Saccharomyces cerevisiae S288C: one gene and its partners. The gene in region 1 interacts genetically with each later gene. Each region holds a gene or a part of one and is shown in the gene's direction. Other genes may lie near its edges.

Evidence for each region. A genetic interaction does not mean that the proteins touch.
Region 2: mutations in CKB2 (region 1) and BRE5 together harm fitness more than expected from each alone (negative genetic interaction), as found in Saccharomyces cerevisiae (4 studies listed by BioGRID).
Region 3: mutations in CKB2 (region 1) and SOH1 together harm fitness more than expected from each alone (negative genetic interaction), as found in Saccharomyces cerevisiae (5 studies listed by BioGRID).

The regions. Positions count from the first base shown.
Region 1 is NC_001147.6:404,250-407,044, forward strand, and holds CKB2 (casein kinase 2 regulatory subunit CKB2), read left to right. Parts: upstream 1-1,518; coding exon 1,519-2,295; downstream 2,296-2,795. Other genes in the region: HIR2 (Hir2p), read right to left, coding at 1-1,139. UniProt on the Saccharomyces cerevisiae protein: Regulatory subunit of casein kinase II/CK2.
Region 2 is NC_001146.8:716,280-719,957, reverse strand, and holds BRE5 (Bre5p), read left to right. Parts: upstream 1-1,630; coding exon 1,631-3,178; downstream 3,179-3,678. Other genes in the region: CCR4-NOT core DEDD family RNase subunit POP2, read left to right, coding at 1-612. UniProt on the Saccharomyces cerevisiae protein: Has a role in de-ubiquitination. In conjunction with UBP3, cleaves ubiquitin, leading to the subsequent mono-ubiquitination of sec23.
Region 3 is NC_001139.9:269,892-272,547, reverse strand, and holds SOH1 (mediator complex subunit SOH1), read left to right. Parts: upstream 1-1,772; coding exon 1,773-2,156; downstream 2,157-2,656. Other genes in the region: methylenetetrahydrofolate reductase (NAD(P)H) MET13, read right to left, coding at 1-28; SCS3 (Scs3p), read right to left, coding at 409-1,551; U2-type spliceosomal complex subunit CWC23, read left to right, coding at 2,404-2,656. UniProt on the Saccharomyces cerevisiae protein: Component of the Mediator complex, a coactivator involved in the regulated transcription of nearly all RNA polymerase II-dependent genes.

The DNA.
Region 1 (2,795 bases):
TCTTCAAGCTTTGGAAGCTTTTTGTTTACTTCTTGTAACGATTTGATTTCCGTTTGAGGCAATGCTACACCTAAATCCTTCTCTTGGAATGCGAATGTATACAATGTCGCGTCGTTTGAAATGGCAAACAAGGTGAACCCATCCTGTGACCAAGACATATCGTTTATTGCGGTGGAGGAAACCTGGAGAGCATTAAACAAAGGTTTCATTCTCTTCGTATTCCAAACCAAAATAGTACCGTCTGTAGATCCCGAAGTGGCGATTAAATTATAGCGTGTGCTGGTGCCCTTTTTCAAATTAGGCTTTTCATAAAATGCTGGAGAATAAACAAGAACTCTACATCCATTTGAAGAAGGTGTTACCAGTGTTTTTGTAACTTTGTAGTTGTTATTTCTGTCAAGTAAAGCGGTACAGCTGGTAGCATTATTCGGCACACCTTTCACCGAGTTTATCACTGGTAAAATGTCTGCCTGAGGTGACATTGAGATTCTATAATGTAATGGATACATTTGTACATGCTGCGTAAGTTTATTTATGAGTTTGTGTGTACCCGTTTTGTTAATTTGATAGACTAAAATTGATCTATCTGAAGTCATAACAGTAAAAGTTTGGCCAGTAGGATCTATTATGCCTGTAATAGGTTTGCTCGCCTTGTCAATAGTTATTTCAGAGAGTTTATCAAAGGTTTTATGCCGAAATAATAGTATCTTATTTTCATTACTTAAAAGAACAAATAAGATACCTAAGTTTATGTCATATTTCACATCCGTTATTGTGCTTGGAGATTTACACTCGAACAGAAGCTTACTGTTCATTTTTTCGACAGAATTGATGTTATTTGTATCTCTACAGAGCCAACCTGAATAACCCCACAGACGATGTTCAGATCCAATATACAATGTTTCGAGATCACCTGTTATGAAAAAAATATCACCGGTAGTATCCTGATCCACCTGGAAAGAAACTTCTGGCTTTAAATCCTTAATCATAACCCTATCGAATGCAGTATCGACTAGTTGTTGTTGTCTCCACGCCATCACGTGACCCCCACTGCCTGCCAATATGATATAGGGACCAAGGGCAGCTAAGGCATTCACTTGTTCATTATGAATATCCAAAGGATACTTTAATAATCTCATTGTTCCGGATTGTGTAGGAACTCCTTTGCTGCGTGGCGTATTCCTCTGTATGGACGATTTAGCACTTTTTGTATATTGTTTTATGAAGACTTCATAATTCTAGCCGAATTAACTGATATTTTTTTCGCGCTTTTTTTTGTCGACCTTCCAGGAAGAAAAAATATGAAAGCGAATAAATGGAGGTGTATTGGCAATCCTTTATCAAATGAAAACAAGCACCAAATAGAATAAGTAAATCACATTCTTAAAGAAGTTGGTCATTCCAGATACGTGGAATTTTCCTGCTGTATTTTTTCATCAATCTTTTACTTGAGAAATACTAGCTTTTTTCAAATTATTCAAGATTAAGGGACTTAGAGAACTGATAGAAAAGCAGATCATGGGCAGTAGATCGGAGAATGTGGGAACAGTGACTAGAGAAGGCTCCAGAGTGGAACAAGATGATGTCCTCATGGATGATGACTCTGACTCATCGGAATACGTGGATATGTGGATCGATTTATTTCTTGGGAGAAAAGGCCATGAATATTTCTGTGATGTCGATCCTGAGTACATCACTGATCGTTTTAATCTGATGAACTTGCAAAAGACAGTTTCAAAATTTTCCTACGTGGTACAATATATTGTGGATGATTTGGATGATAGTATCCTAGAGAATATGACACATGCCCGTTTAGAACAATTAGAATCAGATTCCCGGAAGCTGTATGGTCTCATCCATGCACGCTACATTATAACTATCAAAGGATTGCAAAAAATGTACGCTAAGTACAAAGAGGCGGACTTTGGAAGATGTCCCCGTGTGTATTGTAATTTACAACAGTTGTTACCGGTTGGTTTGCATGACATTCCTGGTATAGATTGTGTCAAGTTATATTGTCCATCTTGTGAGGATCTTTATATACCAAAATCATCGAGACATAGTTCCATTGATGGTGCATACTTTGGAACAAGTTTTCCAGGTATGTTTTTGCAAGCATTTCCAGATATGGTACCCAAACACCCAACTAAAAGATATGTTCCAAAAATATTTGGATTTGAATTACATAAACAAGCTCAACTGACAAGGTGGCAAGAACTACAACGACTCAAGTTAGTTGAGAAACTTGAATCCAAAGATGTTGATTTGACGAAAAGTGGTGGTTTTAAAACCTAACTATTAAAGAAAGAAGAAAAAATTCGAAATGAAATCCTAGGCGAAATTGAAAACGAAAATGAAAATAATGGAGAAACTTCGTCATAAAATTGTGAAAATCAGGTATCATTTGTTCTCCTAGCATTTTCTTTCCTAGAATATTACTATTTTCTACCTCCATTCGTATTTTACTTTTCCTATTTAATATTAAATTTTTATATACCGTTATTGCCCCTTACGGCAATAATACAACCAGATAAAAGAGCGTGCTCCGAAGTTAGCCTGTTATATATCAACAATTTGCAAATGTGGTTACCCACGAATTATTGGTGTTATTTTAGTGAATAGCTTGAAATCTTTGAATGTAGGAAGCATCCTTATTTATCAAGAAATTGGAGAAGTGGCGGCATCGCGTGGAGACTGCCTATGAACTAAGAGGCGGTTTATATTTTAAAAACTCAAAAGCTGTTTGAAGACTAATCTGGAAGTACTGAAAAGAGGAGATTTACTCATTCTTTGGT
Region 2 (3,678 bases), on another chromosome or scaffold:
GACGCCAACGGCAATAAGCCTGACAACGGTCCCTCAACGTGGCAGTTCAATTTTGAATTTGACCCAAAGAAGGAAATCATGTCCACAGAATCGTTAGAATTACTCAGAAAATCAGGTATCAACTTCGAAAAACACGAAAATTTAGGCATCGATGTATTTGAATTTTCGCAGCTTCTAATGGACTCTGGTTTAATGATGGATGATTCTGTTACTTGGATCACATACCATGCGGCATATGATCTAGGTTTCCTGATCAACATTCTAATGAATGACTCCATGCCCAACAACAAGGAGGATTTCGAGTGGTGGGTCCATCAATACATGCCCAATTTCTACGACTTAAACCTGGTGTATAAAATAATCCAGGAGTTCAAGAACCCTCAATTGCAACAATCTTCACAACAGCAACAGCAGCAGCAATATTCACTAACCACACTTGCCGATGAGTTAGGGCTACCAAGATTCTCTATATTTACTACTACAGGCGGCCAGAGTCTATTGATGCTTCTATCCTTCTGCCAATTGAGCAAGCTGTCTATGCATAAGTTCCCAAACGGTACGGATTTCGCCAAGTACCAAGGTGTCATATACGGTATTGATGGGGACCAATGATCATTTATGTACTATATGTATACACAATTTTAAAAAAAAAAGTTTAAAAGCAACATCAGCTTATGATTGGACATGTAGTAATACAGATTGGTTCTTCGATGCAATAAGCACTCTTCCACAGGAGATTGATGCGTTATTCCCGTATAGTTATCGGTCACGTGCGCTGTAGTTTGTTTAACCATTTATTTTTTCTTGGAAATTTTTTCGTCCAAAGCAGCGAAAAACATCAGGTGGCGATTAATGAAAGAATGACATATTGCAAGCAGCATAACCGTCCATTCCAGGGATAAGAGGAAGTACAAGCTTCTTTATTAATAGTTCTAGAGTGACTACATTATTTCAGATTAGGCAATATTACCTTTTCGTACCGTTTTTTTTTCCTGTCCACTGTTACTATTGTTACGGTTAAAAGTTCTATCGCAACCGGCGGACGTTAAACTAAGTCATTTGTTTTTTATCCCATTACTGTTTCAAAAAAGAGCAATTCATACCTAATTTGTACAAAACGAAGACTGTACAAGTGGTAGTACTTGACATAGGATATTTTGCTTGAGTATTAGAAGAATACGAAAAACTTCTTCAGTTTTCTAGTTACCGTTAGTACCAAAACTATTCTAGAGGAAGAATAAACAGTAAGATATTGCTTTAATTTATTTATATCACCTACCACAAGCTTTCGTTTTTTTACTCTGTTTAATTCTTCAAGTTGTGTTTTTTCCCTACATTTTAATTCATTTTTGCCCATTTAATTACATTTTTTTTTTTGTTTTATTATTTTCGTTCAAACCTCATTTTCTTTCAAATATTCAATTAGTCAATCATTTTACAGAGAATCTGTTGAAAACTTATTTTACTGATACATCTTTATTTTTCGTTGATTTTTAAAGAGAAAAAGATCACGAAGAATACTACAAAACCATCGCATTTTTTTTTTCAAGTGTGTTATAGTTTTATTACCTTGTCACTAATAGTTGCATTTGAAGTCATACCCTCGAATAGAAGTATCAAATAAAAGAAAATGGGTGTTACCGTTCAAGACATATGTTTTGCCTTTTTGCAAAACTACTACGAAAGAATGAGGACCGACCCTTCCAAATTGGCATATTTTTATGCAAGTACAGCCGAGTTGACGCATACTAATTATCAGTCCAAGTCAACAAACGAAAAAGATGACGTTCTTCCAACGGTGAAAGTTACTGGACGTGAAAACATTAATAAGTTTTTTTCTAGAAATGATGCCAAAGTTAGGAGCTTGAAACTAAAATTAGATACTATAGATTTCCAGTACACTGGGCACTTGCACAAAAGCATTCTGATCATGGCCACGGGTGAAATGTTTTGGACAGGAACTCCGGTCTATAAGTTTTGTCAAACATTTATCCTGCTACCATCCAGCAATGGGTCTACGTTTGACATTACCAATGATATAATCAGATTTATTTCCAATTCATTCAAGCCTTATGTCTTAACAGATGCTTCTTTGTCACAATCTAACGAGGAGAACTCTGTCAGTGCAGTTGAAGAAGATAAAATAAGGCATGAGTCCGGAGTTGAAAAAGAAAAAGAAAAAGAAAAATCACCAGAAATATCGAAACCAAAGGCCAAAAAGGAAACGGTCAAAGACACAACTGCGCCAACTGAATCGTCAACTCAGGAAAAACCAATTGTCGATCATAGTCAACCTCGGGCTATACCCGTCACTAAAGAGTCCAAGATTCACACCGAAACGGTACCATCTAGTACTAAGGGCAACCACAAACAAGATGAGGTCTCTACAGAAGAGTTAGGAAACGTTACTAAACTAAATGAAAAATCTCACAAAGCCGAAAAGAAAGCTGCACCAATCAAGACAAAGGAAGGCTCTGTTGAGGCCATAAATGCTGTTAATAACTCTTCTTTGCCCAACGGTAAAGAAGTTAGTGATGAAAAACCGGTACCTGGGGGCGTAAAGGAAGCTGAAACTGAAATTAAACCAATAGAGCCACAGGTTTCCGACGCCAAAGAATCCGGCAATAACGCTTCAACACCTTCATCTTCTCCAGAGCCCGTTGCGAATCCACCAAAGATGACATGGGCCTCAAAGTTGATGAATGAAAACTCCGACAGAATTAGCAAAAATAATACCACGGTTGAATACATCAGACCTGAAACACTACCCAAGAAACCGACTGAAAGAAAATTTGAAATGGGGAATCGGAGGGACAACGCTAGTGCTAACAGCAAAAATAAGAAAAAACCAGTATTCAGCACCGTTAACAAGGACGGCTTTTATCCAATCTACATTAGAGGTACAAATGGCTTAAGAGAAGAAAAATTGAGAAGTGCCTTAGAAAAAGAATTCGGTAAAGTTATGAGGATAACAGCTGCAGACAATTTTGCCGTCGTCGACTTTGAAACTCAAAAGAGCCAAATCGATGCTTTAGAGAAGAAGAAAAAGTCAATTGATGGTATTGAAGTATGCTTAGAAAGAAAAACAGTAAAGAAGCCCACGAGCAATAATCCTCCTGGCATATTTACTAATGGAACACGTTCTCATAGAAAGCAACCCCTAAAAAGAAAGGACTAGTCAACCACAAGCCTTTTAAAAAGAAAAATTGAAAAAATAATAAAAAAATTTGAAAAAGAAAAAAAAAAATCATAAAACCAATCTTAAGAAAAACCAAAAAAAAACCGCTAATTAAAATCTAAAAAATTGAAACAAGAAACTGTATGATTAGTAACTAATATACTGGCGCGGAAGGGAATGAATGCCATTTAAATGAGATGATTATGAAAATATAGCGTAGAGTAGATGCGCGAAACCGAGGCAGAAAAGAAAAAGAGACAAGTTAAAAATTGAATATAATGATATATGGGCACTTTCTTCTGTGCTAGGAAACGGAGGTAGAAGGGGATAGCAAGCTTGAGCAGTAATTAAAAAAAAAAAAAAGCATATTGATAGATAGCTCATTTGTAGTTAACTGACGACATTTATGTACATAATTAAAATAGAAGAAAATTTTCAAAAAAAATTCTCCTGGCGATTGTTAGGGACAAGAAAACAAGCCATGTTGTAACCAATAAATG
Region 3 (2,656 bases), on another chromosome or scaffold:
GTTGCTCTAATTTTTCTGTGATCTTCATATTGCGATGTGGTTGTAGTAGTAACTGTGGTGGTTCTGTTTGCTGATAACTTTAGTTTAGGGAGACTATTTCAATCAAGGGGAGCAAGGCAAACTACACGAAACACAAGCTGTGGCATTAGCTTTTCCACGAGCGAAATATCACCTTTTTTTTTCTACTTTTCGTATATATGATATATATACGTATATATATATATACATACAAACATATATATATATATATATATATCAAATTTTGGAAAAATTTGAGTCAAAGTTGCATATGCAATATTCACAGTCTATAATCCGAGGGATAGAATGACTAAACGACGGCCCGCTACCGGGAGAAAAGTCGCTGTTATTTTTTCAGTCGCTCGTGGTCTATCGCCAACTTTTCCTGAGTCATACTGGACGTAGCGCGGCTGCGTCGCGAGCGTAGACAAGGCCTGTCACTATGTACGCAGCTAGCAATCCAGACATGTGCTCACGTACGGTGTGGAAACGGGACGCCACCGCAGTCAACAGCAGCTGCCATAACCACGTGACCAATAGCGTCAGCAGTATGATTACTGGGTGGTCGCATGCTATGCATCGCGTCAAACGGAGCAGGGCGGCCGCGCACGTGACAGGCGGCTCGACTATCGCACGCCACAAACGGGCGCCACAGGTCATTGAGCCGCCGCCACACCGCCGCCACGTCCATAGCGGTCCAGTGTCGAAAAGGCGGGTCACCAATCGTACAAGCTGCCATTTCTGCGCGTACAAGTGAGCCAGTGCACGACGCCCAAACACACGTAGCTCACCTAGAAGAAACATGCACATCAAGGTGGCCAAGAACACGTGCCCGGATGGATCGTGTCCTCCAGCCCAATGGCCTCCAAAACGTCTGCACTGTGCCGAGGTGGTTAACGGACCTTGCCACCTGTGCATCTGGTCATGAATAAAAGTATTGATGGCAGCGGCAGCGCTGGCCGTTACGTTTTTTGGGGTTTTCGGTTGCGTCGCCTGCAGGGCGCCCTGGATCGACCCTATGGAGCGGTCCCAGAGTTGTTGCTGACGGTGTTCTTGGTGGTGTCCGTGCAAAGTGAGGACATTGTGAATGAGCGCCAACGCGCGATTAGTCCGGGTGACAGAACCCTGGAAGTCTTCGTTCACGTGACCTGCATCATCGAAGACGTCATAGTGACAATGGCCACCCGTATATACGAATACCAAGTCCATGATGGGGCCTACGCCAAACCATATACCTTGCGTGAATACGTACCACCACACTGTCAGTATGGCATACCTTTTGAATGACTGGACAATGTGTCTTCGGTCTCTGCCGGTTGCCCCCGGCACCGCACGGTAGCGTATAATACACCACCATCCGACCAAGGAAGTCCAAAACCACCCTTTCTTTACCAACATAGCATTTACCAGACCATCCTTATTCAGGGTTGCTTGCAGCGCCGCACCGTAGCCATACGCGTTCATGAGATATCCTACCAGTACCGTCAACGGGCACACCAGTAGGTGTATAGCATTAAACCATTTGCTAGACATTGTTGTAATATGCCGTGCTTTATAGCTGGTTTCAGTGGAGTTTTAGGCGTTTCCCCTTTGGCTTTTTTCGAACAGTTCGTTTTGTATTTTATTTCACGGTTTTCCCGCTAACGTGTTCTTAAAGGATGAAAAAGAAAAAGAAATGCAGGAAAAATGAGGCAAAGTAAGCCAAAACTTATAGCACTCATAAGACGGCAAAGTTCCCCCAAGCTCCACCCAGGATGTCAAGCACTAATGGAAACGCACCAGCGACACCTTCCTCGGATCAAAATCCTCTCCCCACGAGGTTCGAAGTGGAGCTCGAATTTATCCAGTCACTGGCAAACATCCAATACGTAACGTACTTACTCACTCAACAGCAGATCTGGAAGTCTCCTAACTTCAAAAACTACTTGAAATACCTGGAGTACTGGTGCAACCCCCCTTATTCGCAATGCATTGTGTATCCAAACTGTCTCTTCATTTTAAAGCTGTTGAACGGGTTCATGGAGTCGGCGATCGTTAATGAAGATGGCCTGCTGGAAGGGCTAGACGAGCTGCCCAAGATCATTCAATTACAAGGCCCGCAATGGATGAATGAAATGGTAGAAAGATGGGCCAACTGAACACACCTAATTATAACTACATTCGCACGCATTCATATATCTATTTTATACACTCATGAATATATATACACACACACACATATATATATCACATATATACATATATATATGTATATATATATGCAAGCCGCATTACTTTGTATTTTCTTTCCTTTGTTTTCCTTGCATATTATCTCGCAAGACATTAGAAGATGAAAGCAAAATCAAAAAGCAAGTCCATCGCCGTACTACAAGCCTCGCCACGACTATGCCAGGACACGAATTGGAAGACGTAATAAATCAACGTTTGAACCTATATGATGTATTAGAATTACCGACCCCCCTGGACGTCCATACCATCTACGATGATTTGCCCCAAATTAAACGCAAATACAGGACCCTTGCCCTGAAGTATCATCCTGACAAACACCCGGACAATCCATCAATTATACACAAATTCCACTTATTATCGACCGCAACTAATATCCTCACCAATGCAGACGTGAGACCCCATTACGACC